Caenorhabditis elegans: one gene and its partners. The protein of the gene in region 3 purifies or fractionates together with the protein of the main gene of each other region. This does not show direct contact. Each region holds a gene or a part of one and is shown on either strand. Other genes may lie near its edges. The genes, in order: adk-1, enol-1 and upp-1.

Region 1 (3,754 bases), on a different chromosome or scaffold from region 3:
TCAACTAATGTTCTTTTTGCTTTCCTTGATAAGAACGGCGTACAGAAACTTCGACGTGTTCGGAAAAGTGACGTTGATCACTAACAGTTTTACAATTTACCAAAACTGTAAGTAATCATATTCCTCTAGTCCTGATAAATATGCAACAAACTTTATTTCAGCCGTGGCAGTGTCGTTCTGGTTCTGGATCTGATTGGCTTTGTCGAAAAGGGGAAGAAGATTCCAATTCAAATCGACATGGATGAAGAATAAAACTTTGCCATTTTATTAAAACACCTGATAAATGAATTATAAGGCACATTTTGGGAACATTTGACAAAAAAAACAACACCAAAAGAAAAATTTCGAATAATAGGGATGCTCGAGGACGGGGAATGGGGAGCAAAACAAAGAACAATTTGATATACTATAAACCAGGGGACTGGGAAATTGAAAGCAGAGAAAGTTGGGATCACAGATTATTTTATCAGTTTAATGGTACTTGCAAACAGATGGCACTGTGCATCCGTGCTTCTTGATGATTTCTTGAGCAGCATAAGATCCACAGGTGACTGAAGCTTCGACTCCCTTTCCTTGGATGAATTGAGAAAGGAAACCTCCGACAAAAGCGTCTCCGGCACCGTTGGTATCGACGATTTCTTCCTTTGGAAGACGAGTTACTGGGAATTCGGTGACCTGTAGATTAAAATTGAAAACAATAAATTCAAAAATTATCAAAAACTCTCACCTTATCTCCTTCCACGACGATGACTGGCTCTGGTCCTTGAGTGAAAACAACGAGTCTTGGCTTAGTAGATTTCTTTGGAAGTGCAGCAGCCTTCAAAGCGATCTCCTTGACACAGGTGGTCTCCCATCCATTGGCTTTAGCAAAGGCAGCAGCTTCGTCTTCGTTTCCGAAAAGAACATCGACCAATGGAATGATTTCCGAGAGCTTATCGAAGAAAAATTGGGAGATGAACGGGGCGGAGAGGTTAAGGGTGAAAGTCTTGTTGAATTCGGCAGAGTGGCTTGCGAGTTGGAGAATAGCTGGTGGGCAGACAGTGATGAAGAATCCCTGAAAATTTTACATTGAGAATACTTTTGTGCTTATTTGTAAATCAATTCGATAACTTACAGTGACATAGAAATATTTGGCCTGCTCGATGATCTTCTGATTCTCCTCCTTCTGGAGATGATCTTGAGTGAAGGTGTTAGCAGCAGCCAAATGAGCACAGAGTGATCTGAAATCATTTCAACACGGCAACGATGATTTTTCTGTCCGTCAAACAATGATCCGCTTACCTATGAGTTCCGTTGATGAGGGCTGCGCAGGTACCGGTCTTAACTGTCTCGTTGATCTGATAATGCACATTCACTCCAGCTTCTTTGGCTTTCGATGCCAAAAGATCTCCGTACTGATCTTTACCAACAGCTCCAAAGAAAACTGTTCGGTTTGGTGCGTTCAAAATCCATTGAGCAACACGGAGCGAATTCTGTGCGGCTCCTCCTGGAATGTACTCGACTTTGAAATCTCTGGTAAGCTCGGTGAACATGTCATTGTGCTTGTCGTCGCAAAGAATGGCGTCGTTTTCTTTGAGTCCCCATTTGTCAAGGAATGCCTGTAGATTTCAGCAATTAAAATGAAATATTTTTGAATGTGCTTCTAGATTTCTAGAGAAATCAAAAACTTACCTTTTCAACGGTGGTTTGAATGTCCAACAATGGATTGCACATTCCGATGAGGGTGTTTTCTGGCAGAGGAGACATTTCCGTGACGTGAGGAGATGGGATTACCTGCAGATAGACAATTAGAAAATGAAAAGTGAGAAAAAGGCGAGTTTTGAACGAGTAAATAGACATAAGAGAAAACAAATAAGAAGATTGGCAAAGAAAGAGTGCGAAAAAACCGTTTTCGTGCTTTTTTGAACACGAATAACGCTGTAAAGCCAAGATATTTTGTGTTTTAGGACAATACATTTCCACGAAATCCACGTTGTAATTTGAAATTCCGGCCGAAAGACATTTTTGATAAACAACGATCGCATGGGATATCGGAGTGTCGTTGCAACGTGTTTTAAGATTTTATCGATCATAAATCTTTGCTGACAGAAGCGGAAAGTTTTTAAAACACCGTTGCTATCTTAAAAAACATGAACGTTTAAAAAAACCAAGAATAAAATTTGCAAGTTTCTAAATGTGGAAGTACCTCCTTCAAACACAAATTAGTGAATGCTATTTTGAATAATATTTTGAATAATATATTAATAATGGCTGATTGTTTGATGAATACTGTGTATTTCTTTTCCAATTCTACGATTTTAAAGTGGGAAGCAGTTATGCGGAATGGTCTCGCCAAGAGCCGTCTATTGATATATTTTTCTCAATCAATGGCTGGCGCGTGGCGAGACCAATCCGCATAAATGCTCCTCCCTTTAAAATCGTAGAACTTGAAAAATTCATAGTAAAAATACGATTTTCGAAAGTGGGAGCGATGAGTTTCCAGAAAAGTGAACGATCAGGCGTGGAAATTCAAATGTAATAAGATAACTTATTAGAACTTGGACAAAAATGAGAATGAGTTACACACAAAGTACACGATTCTGATGAGAAATGCGCCTTCCAACTAGCCTATCTTCTATTTTATCGTCCATTACTCCCCAGTCTGTCTGCAGTTTCTAAAAGATCTCCGCTATTTCGTTATCGGTTTTTTGACCGGCAAATTGTGACACTGATAGTATCTACCGATATGCCATCTAGCCTCAGAACAAGAAAAGTTGGCTAACTTGCGGTGGTGGTTTGAACGAGACAATTTACAAGTTATGTTCAATTTAGAAAACAATTTTAGTTGTCAATGGCTTTTAAACCTAGCAATTACATTAAAGTCTATTGCAAACAGTTTAAAATTGAAACTAAGCCTGAATAAACAGACACAGTGCGTAATGCAATTTTCATGTGGAAGTTGCAAAAAAGATAGAAAAAAGAGAAGAAACTACAACGGCAACTGTTATGAAAAAACCGATTGATTTCCATTGTGTTCTATGAACAGAAGGTGTCTCCTGCACATAAGTTCTCAAAATGAGAAAAATTTTCGAAAATGGCCTGATTGAAAGTTGATAGTCGATCAATTAATGATCTATTGGGGTTTCTATGTGGAGTAATATAGAAGTTGTACTCATATTTATTGGCAGTAGTTAAACAATTACCTATATACTCCGAAAAGTAAAAACTACAAAGTTTTTTTCGTACCCACGTTGTGAGTTGATACTCAGCTAATAGGTGAATTTTCATATTCTCCTTCACTGCACTATTCACTATATATATAATAGATAGCCGTTATAGAGCATTATTTTCTATGAAAATTAAACATTTAAATCTTTTTACTTATTGTAAATAAATACTTTTAAAACCTACGTTTTGAAGAACTTGCATATTTCAATTAAATGAAAAAACGTGTTACAGATTTAATATTGCCACTGGAGATTTAGTCTCAATAAACTCCAAGTAGTCTAACATGGCCGCACATTAGTAAATTGCCAAAATTGGCCAAAAATGCGTATTTTTGAGTTATTTCAAGCATATTTGTAGGTCCAAACTATTTAAATTTTTTTCTTTGAAACGGAACTAAAAAATGAAACTGGTAAATGTAACATTTTTTCTACTTCCAAAATTATAATATAGAAAAACTCTTAGTTTTCATTCCTTTTGACTGTATAAAAATTATTTCAAAAATTTTGCGAAAAGTTTTACAACGATATTTGGAGCAGTTTTAAACAAC
Region 2 (3,754 bases), on a different chromosome or scaffold from region 3:
CTTCCGCCGCTGAAGCCACGGAACAAATTCTTCGCGTCGACGATATCATCAAGGCAGCTCCACGTGCCCGTGCTCAAGATAACCGACCATGCTAATCAAATTGTTCGCCAGACTGTTAAAAGATCTTCAACTTTATTCTCCCTTTTTCAGCTTTTAATCGAGTGCTTCAACACAATCGTATCTCGTTTTTTTTCGTCCCCTTCATTCTTATTTTTGATGGAATTTGATACACTTTCTGTTGCTTCTGCCTACCGTTTTTATATGCCCCCGTTTTCAATTTAATATTCGAGAATACCGCGTGTTTTTGCTTGTTGATTTGTTTTCCTTTTAAAATGAATGGAGTGCGATTTACAAAAGGTACAATATTTGAAATGTATTTTATTCCAGTTTTTATCTGATTTTTTATATTTCTGATTAAAGAGAAAAGAAAAAGCTTAAAAGAAAAAATTTAGAACTGCCAAAAGATGCACAGGAGTTTTCCGAGGCTTGTCCGATCGCAAGGTAACTTGTTGAAAGGAATGTTTGGAAAATCCGGGGAAAAGGAAGCAGTAAAGCAGCTGACACTGGAAGAACAGGAGAGCCTTCGCAAGACGCTTCCCAGCATCCGTGCTAGAGAATCCACACAAGTTACTGCTTCAGCTGATTCTGTCACTGAATTTGACGATGATCTGTTGACGATGAGCCGTATCGACACGGATGCCATCCGGGCCAGAGGTTTTCTCAAATACACGCAAAACTATGTTCCCGGCGTTGATGTCAAAAACCAAGTACTTGAAGCAGCGTCATCATGTCTAAGAAGTGCTGGAGTAAAGTCTGAAAACGTGGATCAGTACAAATTTGTGGAAGGAGATAACTCTGTAAAGTTCGAGTTGTTGAACAGGCTGGGAAAATCCATCGAACATTGGCCAACCAATGGAAAACTTCTTCATTTGGAAACAGTGGCAGACGTCGTCGAATTTTATCAGACGCCTGTCAAAAATGTAACAAAATATACAGAGTTAGTTTTTGTTTAAAGATGCTTATTGAATTATTAATTAAAATAAATTATAGAATGGCTCGCGATGAGAACAAACCGAAAAACGTCTCGATTATGGAGCATGCTGCACGTTTCCATCCTGAAGACACTCACATGTATCATGGTGGAATCACTGCATTCCCAGGATCAGGTGGTGAAGTTCTCTCTCTGAGACAGAAACGTCTACTTCGACAGTTCCAACCGAAAAAAGAATGGTTCGATTATGATGATCAGGTAATTTTTAAAGTTTCAGTGCTGACTTAAAATCGGCATTTTTCAGACATTTGATTACACTCGTCCTGACAAGAATATGCCATGGGATCCAGAAGTTGCTAATCAAATGGACAAATACACTGATAAACGATACAACCTAAAAACAAAGCAATTCACTAGGATTCGACAATAAAAAATAATTTGGTTCATTTTTGTATTAGAGTTTCATATTTAGTATTTTTAGACCTATTTTCTTTTTGTTTGATCTATCGATTTTTATTGTTGTAAATAAAATTGACGTTGAAAAAAATATTTTTGACCTCTTCACGTTTTGATCTTCCTCTAAAGTTTTGCTCTACGCAAGTTATTTCAGTTTTTGATTTAAAATGTTTGTTCCATTCACCTCGGCAGCTCACTCGCTCACTTCGCTCATTCGAGGTGGCGGGCAGCCTTCGAAAAGCAATCTGTCTGGACAAAGGTTTTGGTTATCTCTTTTTCTTTATTTTCCGCCAGTTGATTTCATGCTCCCGCGACTTCCACACGCAATCTGCAAAATTTTGGCTGCTGAATCAGGGTAATGGGGTCTGCCGTGCCTTTTTTCCAAAACGTTGACTGATGTTTACTTTTCTTTTATGTTTCATTTTGACTTGTTCAATGGTTTTGAACAATAGTGTGTGCAAACTAACGTTTTTCTTTAAATTCAACACGCAAGCTTTGAGGTGTTTTAGTTAGAAAGAAAATAGTTGTGTTTCTCTTCAAAAATAAGTTTTTTCCGAAATGTTTTGCAAATTTTCCGAATCAACAATTTCTTCTCATATCAGACCTTATCACTTCTTCTCACTTCTAAAACTGACCACTGAACATAAAAAACATTTGGTAACTCGCTTCTCAAATCCAATCTGAAGTGCATGCTTTGCCAATCTGAAACTTCGTGTAAGTCACGTATTTAGGCGAAAGGCAGCCGCTCAAGTCGTCGCTTCTCCCCAGCGGCAGTTGCTGGCGTCCTTGGCCCCTCACTTGTTTTCGAGCCCAAGGCATTGGCTCCTCTTTTCTTCTCGGCATGACGAATTTAATCATAATTCTCAATATCTAGAAGTGTTCAAGAACTTAGTGAATCTGCAATGCCTTTTTTTTGTAACTTCAGTTCGAATCTTAACTGCGTCTCTTTGAGATCTACAAACGAATTTTATTCACTGCCACGAAAAAGAGGCTGTCCGTGCGATTCTATTGAACGTGCGCTCTCGGGCCGCTCACAAACACATCTAACCAGCTGCATTTTCTCTGAGTCTCGTGTCCTCCGTGCGACCTTCGTCACTCTTTCCACTTTCTGCGCCGTCTATTGACGGCGCCGCCTTTTTCTTCTCGCACTCCTTTACCCCTTCTCGCCTCAAACATTTTATCTTTTCAGTTGTTTTGTTTACTAGTGCCCGTTTCTCACGTAGTTTTATATACTTGTTTGATTATTGAAAACATATAGTTCATTTTGCAGGATGCCAATCACCAAGATCCACGCTCGCCAAATCTACGACTCCCGCGGAAACCCAACTGTTGAGGTTGATCTTTTCACTGAGAAAGGTAAGCGAGCATTGTATAAATTCTATCAAAACTTGAAAAACCAATCTAGATTTGAATAAAATAAGATTAATCTTGTTTTATTCAAATCTGAAATTTCATGAAGTATATTTCAACATTATGACGCAATTCCGAAATCACATCATTTCTTGTTTCCAGGAGTCTTCCGTGCCGCAGTTCCATCTGGAGCTTCTACTGGAGTTCATGAGGCCCTCGAGCTTCGTGACGGTGACAAGGCTGTTCACCTCGGAAAGGGGGTTCTCAAGGCCGTCTCGAACATCAACGAGAAGATCGCTCCAGCTCTGATCGCCAAGGGATTCGATGTCACTGCACAGAAGGACATTGACGACTTCATGATGGCTTTGGATGGATCGGAAAACAAGGGAAACCTCGGAGCTAACGCCATTCTCGGAGTTTCACTTGCTGTCGCCAAGGCTGGAGCCGTACACAAGGGACTCCCACTCTACAAGTACATCGCCGAGCTTGCAGGAACTGGAAAGGTTGTGCTCCCTGTTCCAGCCTTCAACGTCATCAATGGTGGATCTCACGCTGGAAACAAGCTCGCTATGCAAGAATTCATGATTCTTCCAGTTGGAGCTTCCAGCTTCGCTGAAGCCATGCGCATGGGATCAGAAGTCTACCACCACTTGAAGGCTGAAATTAAGAAGAGATATGGACTCGATGCCACCGCTGTTGGAGATGAAGGAGGTTTCGCTCCAAATATTCAAGACAACAAGGAAGGACTTGACCTTCTCAACACTGCCATCGACAAGGCTGGATACACTGGAAAGATTTCCATTGGAATGGATGTCGCAGCATCGGAATTCTTCAAGGACGGAAAGTACGATTTGGATTTCAAAAACCCAGCTTCAGACTCCTCCAAGTGGCTCTCTGGAGAGCAACTGACCGAGCTCTACCAATCTTTCATCAAGGAGTATCCAGTTGTCTCTATTG
Region 3 (3,754 bases):
TTAGAAGAAAACAACTAGTTTTCAGCAAAAAAGGATATAAAATTAATTTTCAAAAACTTTATTTTTAGCATTTTGATGAGATTGCAAATTTAAAATTGAATCTTTTGAAATTATCAACGTTTCTTTTTGAATTCTAACAATAATATGTTGGCAGTCAAAATTTGAAAATTTGAGAACGATGCTCAATAAATTTTTGTTCAGGTTTCAAAAAACTGGAAGAAGCCAGCTTTGAAAGAAATGACGAGTTGGAAACTACAGTACCCATAAAAACGAAAAATCTTTCGCATTTGAAACTCATGCCCTTTTTCGGCAACTCGGCAACCGATTTTTGTGACGTTGTGAGACTACTGTAGACCGAATTTCCAAATATTCAGTGTCACTTAAAAATCATGATAACAATTGATAAGATCACCCCTCATAACTGTGTCCCGTTGACTTTATCATTTCCGTCTTTTTTCGTCATCTTCTTGCGCCACGTGCTGTCTCTTTCGCAGAATCATTGTTATAATCTCGCCATCTTTCATGATTGAAATTTATTGTCAATGTGTTCAGGAACTAGCCTTTTATTTACGATGACAAATAGATGAAACACTGGGGACACTAAAAGCGTAGTTTTGAACAATCAACACCATAAAACTATAAATGAACAAAGTTGGCAGCAAGAATTATCAGCATTATCAGGAGAAAGAACTTTTTGTGCAGATAAGAAACAATTGAACGCGGAGATCAGAATGACATGATTATTATTATCTGTATTCTTACCGCAAACTTTTAAAATAATAATTGAAACAAAAAAGATTCTCGCAAAATTGTAATATTCAAAGTTCGCGCGTTTTTATCTGTCTGCATGTCGACGTGTCGGTGTTTGCACACTTACGCTACATCTTACGACAGGTGTTTTCAAACTCTCGCGAATTTATTTTTTTCCTTCGAAATCATCGAATTTCTTCCATTTAAGTCTAAAAACTTCATATTTTCAGTAAGATAATTCATTACTATTAATATCCAAAGTTTATATCATGTGGTGCTTGAACAAACTGCTGGTGCGAAAAGTTTAAATCAAATAAAAGCAAATCCTTCGTTGAAAACAATCGGAGATTTTCGATTTTCCACGTGGAAACTGTTCTAAACTGCGTCACCATCGTTTTGTTTGTCTTTATTGTCTCAGAAAGTTCAGTTCCTGTTGACTTTTTTACTCAAATTTCAAAACTTTGTCCTTTTACTCAATTTTTCTGACTTGTCGAAGCTTCTTCACAGAAACTGTTTGTTACATCACCACGCTTTCTTTTTTCCGCAAAATAATTTTTCTTTCCATCTATTTCCAATCGTTCCGCCCATTTTCTCGACGAAAACAAAAAAAAAGATAGATAAAAAGGGAGGAGTTTCGAGGTTACTTGCTTTACGGAATAAAAGTTTCATTTTCTCAATATTTTCATTTGGAAATTTGTGAGTTCTTTTTCGTCTTTATATATTAGAGTGATTTTGCTTATTTCAGATTGAAAAATAATTGTTTCACTTTTCTTTTAAATTTCAATTTTTCTCTGAGGTGTACTAAAAGTCTTGGTAGCAAAGGTAGAATCTCGTTTTTCTCGTTTTTATTATTTATCACGTAGCCTGGAGCTCACGAGTTGTCCAAATTGGATTTGAGTCCTTTTTAAGCATCTCTAACCGTCTACTCTCTCTGCTCTCTCCTCGTCTCTTTTGGAGTGCCCTTTTCTTATTCTATGTGATACTGACGACATTTAGCACGCGTATTCTGGTTCCTGTTTTTGTTTTGCTCTCTTTTATTCATGAAGTTTTTTTTTTCATTCCTATAAGTTGGAATTTTTTCAGATCCATCAAGATGAACGGACTTGTCAAGAACGGAAATGTGGAGAAGCCAAACAAGTACTTCGATATCAAGGATAAAAGAGATTTTCTTTATCACTTTGGTTTTGGAGTCGACACTCTCGATATTCCAGCAGTTTTTGGAGATACCAAGGTTGGTTCTACAAAGTCTAGAAAAAATTGAATAAGTGAAAAAGTTCCCTCATTAGTTTTAATATTAGTTCACTCCTAATCTTCGAGAAATGTTCCACTTTAAAAATCGTTTACTATATATAAAGCGCGTGTCCTTCTGTCCCTATGTAGTTTGATCTCTGATCAGAGCAACGAAATTTTGGGAAACCTTATGCTAAGTGCGCAGCAGGCATCGATCGAGGTCCGCGATAGACACCGTATATCTAATGTGTTTTCTCAAAGAAGTCGGGGGCCGCGCCGTAGGTGCGGTCCACGGCTGGTGATTCATAATGTTCCAAAAAATATGAGAAATAATCCATTTATGTCTTCACTTCCCAGGTAGAATGATGCAACAGTTTTCTCTATTCATACATATCGATCAACAGAACAAACACAAAAATATATTCATTCATTTGGCGCTTTTATTTCTTCAATTTTTTGACCCGTTAGTTGTCATGCGAGTTTTCTTCTTTTTGAATTATAAATTTGCATAGCCACGCGCCTCCTGGTGTCCAATTTCAATAGAGGGTAAATATAATTTGAATCGATACCAACACAAAACGAATCTAGAATTTTCAAGAGCTACATATTCCTCACTGATAAGTTTATCTCTCTCCTAGGGCGGGTAATACTTCTAGCCAATTGTTACACAAGCGCCCTTCGTGTCATAGGAATGTCTATGTCTTTACTGCACGTGTCAAACACGCTCCGTTGTGGTCTAGTGGTTAGGATTTATGGCTCTCACTCATAAGGCCGGGGTTCGATTCCCCGCAACGGAAGATTTTTTTTGTTTTTATAGGTGTTGTGTGCCGAAATTGAATCATTTTAGTGAATAATAATTTGCACTATCATTAAGTTAATTTCAGTTCGTCTGCACTGGAGGATCTCCAGGACGTTTCAAGTTGTATGCTGAATGGTTTGCCAAAGAGGCCAATATTCCATGCTCTGAAAATCTCTCACGGTCTGACCGTTTCGTGATTTACAAAACTGGACCAGTTTGCTGGATCAACGTATGTTATTTTGAGGCGACAATTATTTGACAAAAATAAATTTACAGCATGGAATGGGAACCCCATCTTTGAGCATCATGCTCGTCGAATCTTTCAAGTTGATGCACCATGCTGGTGTTAAGAACCCAACTTTCATTCGTCTTGGAACATCTGGAGGAGTCGGTGTTCCACCAGGAACTGTTGTTGTGTCAACTGAAGCCATGAATGCTGAGCTTGGAGATACCTATGTGCAAATCATCGCAGGAAAAAGAATTGAGCGGCCTACTCAACTCGATGCCGCACTCCGCGAGGCTCTTTGCGAAGTCGGAAAAGAGAAAAGCATTCCAGTTGAAACTGGAAAAACCATGTGCGCCGACGATTTCTATGAGGGACAGATGCGTCTTGATGGATACTTTTGCGATTACGAAGAAGAAGACAAGTATGCTTTCTTGCGGAAGCTAAATGCTCTTGGAGTACGAAATATTGAGATGGAGTCAACTTGCTTCGCCAGCTTCACGTGTCGCGCTGGATTCCAGTCTGCTATTGTCTGCGTCACTCTTTTGAATCGTATGGATGGAGATCAGGTAATATTTTGATTCTTATTGACAGTCTTCAATTATAACATTTATAGGTTCAAATCGCCAAAGAGCAATATATTGAATACGAGGAACGTCCATTCCGCCTTGTAACTGCCTACATTCGCAAGCAGACCGGGATCTAATAATCTTAAAATCAAGATTCTCAACTAATTGCTTTCCATGTTTCCT

The links.
Region 1: the proteins of upp-1 (region 3) and adk-1 fractionate together in Caenorhabditis elegans (co-fractionation; one large-scale study listed by BioGRID). This does not show direct contact.
Region 2: the proteins of upp-1 (region 3) and enol-1 fractionate together in Caenorhabditis elegans (co-fractionation; one large-scale study listed by BioGRID). This does not show direct contact.

What each region holds. Positions count from the first base shown.
Region 1 is NC_003282.8:11,209,059-11,212,812, forward strand, and holds adk-1 (Adenosine kinase), read right to left. Parts: upstream 1,774-3,754; 5' UTR 1,747-1,773; coding exon 1,672-1,746; intron 1,599-1,671; coding exon 1,282-1,598; intron 1,221-1,281; coding exon 1,115-1,220; intron 1,055-1,114; coding exon 728-1,054; intron 676-727; coding exon 472-675; 3' UTR 251-471; downstream 1-250. Other genes in the region: R07H5.9 (Kinesin motor domain-containing protein), read left to right, coding at 1-84.
Region 2 is NC_003280.10:8,929,389-8,933,142, forward strand, and holds the start of enol-1 (Enolase), read left to right. Parts: upstream 1-1,614; coding exon 1,615-1,706; intron 1,707-2,717; coding exon 2,718-2,803; intron 2,804-2,959; coding exon 2,960-3,754. Other genes in the region: cct-2 (T-complex protein 1 subunit beta), read left to right, coding at 1-95; mrpl-50 (Large ribosomal subunit protein mL50), read left to right, coding at 465-997, 1,051-1,249, 1,296-1,421.
Region 3 is NC_003281.10:7,641,181-7,644,934, reverse strand, and holds the start of upp-1 (Uridine and thymidine phosphorylase), read left to right. Parts: upstream 1-1,833; 5' UTR 1,834-1,843; coding exon 1,844-1,981; intron 1,982-2,703; exon of another isoform or gene 2,704-2,787; intron 2,788-2,864; coding exon 2,865-3,008; intron 3,009-3,055; coding exon 3,056-3,571; intron 3,572-3,618; coding exon 3,619-3,708; 3' UTR 3,709-3,754. UniProt on the Caenorhabditis elegans protein: Catalyzes the reversible phosphorylytic cleavage of uridine and thymidine to uracil and ribose-phosphate or thymine and deoxyribose-1-phosphate.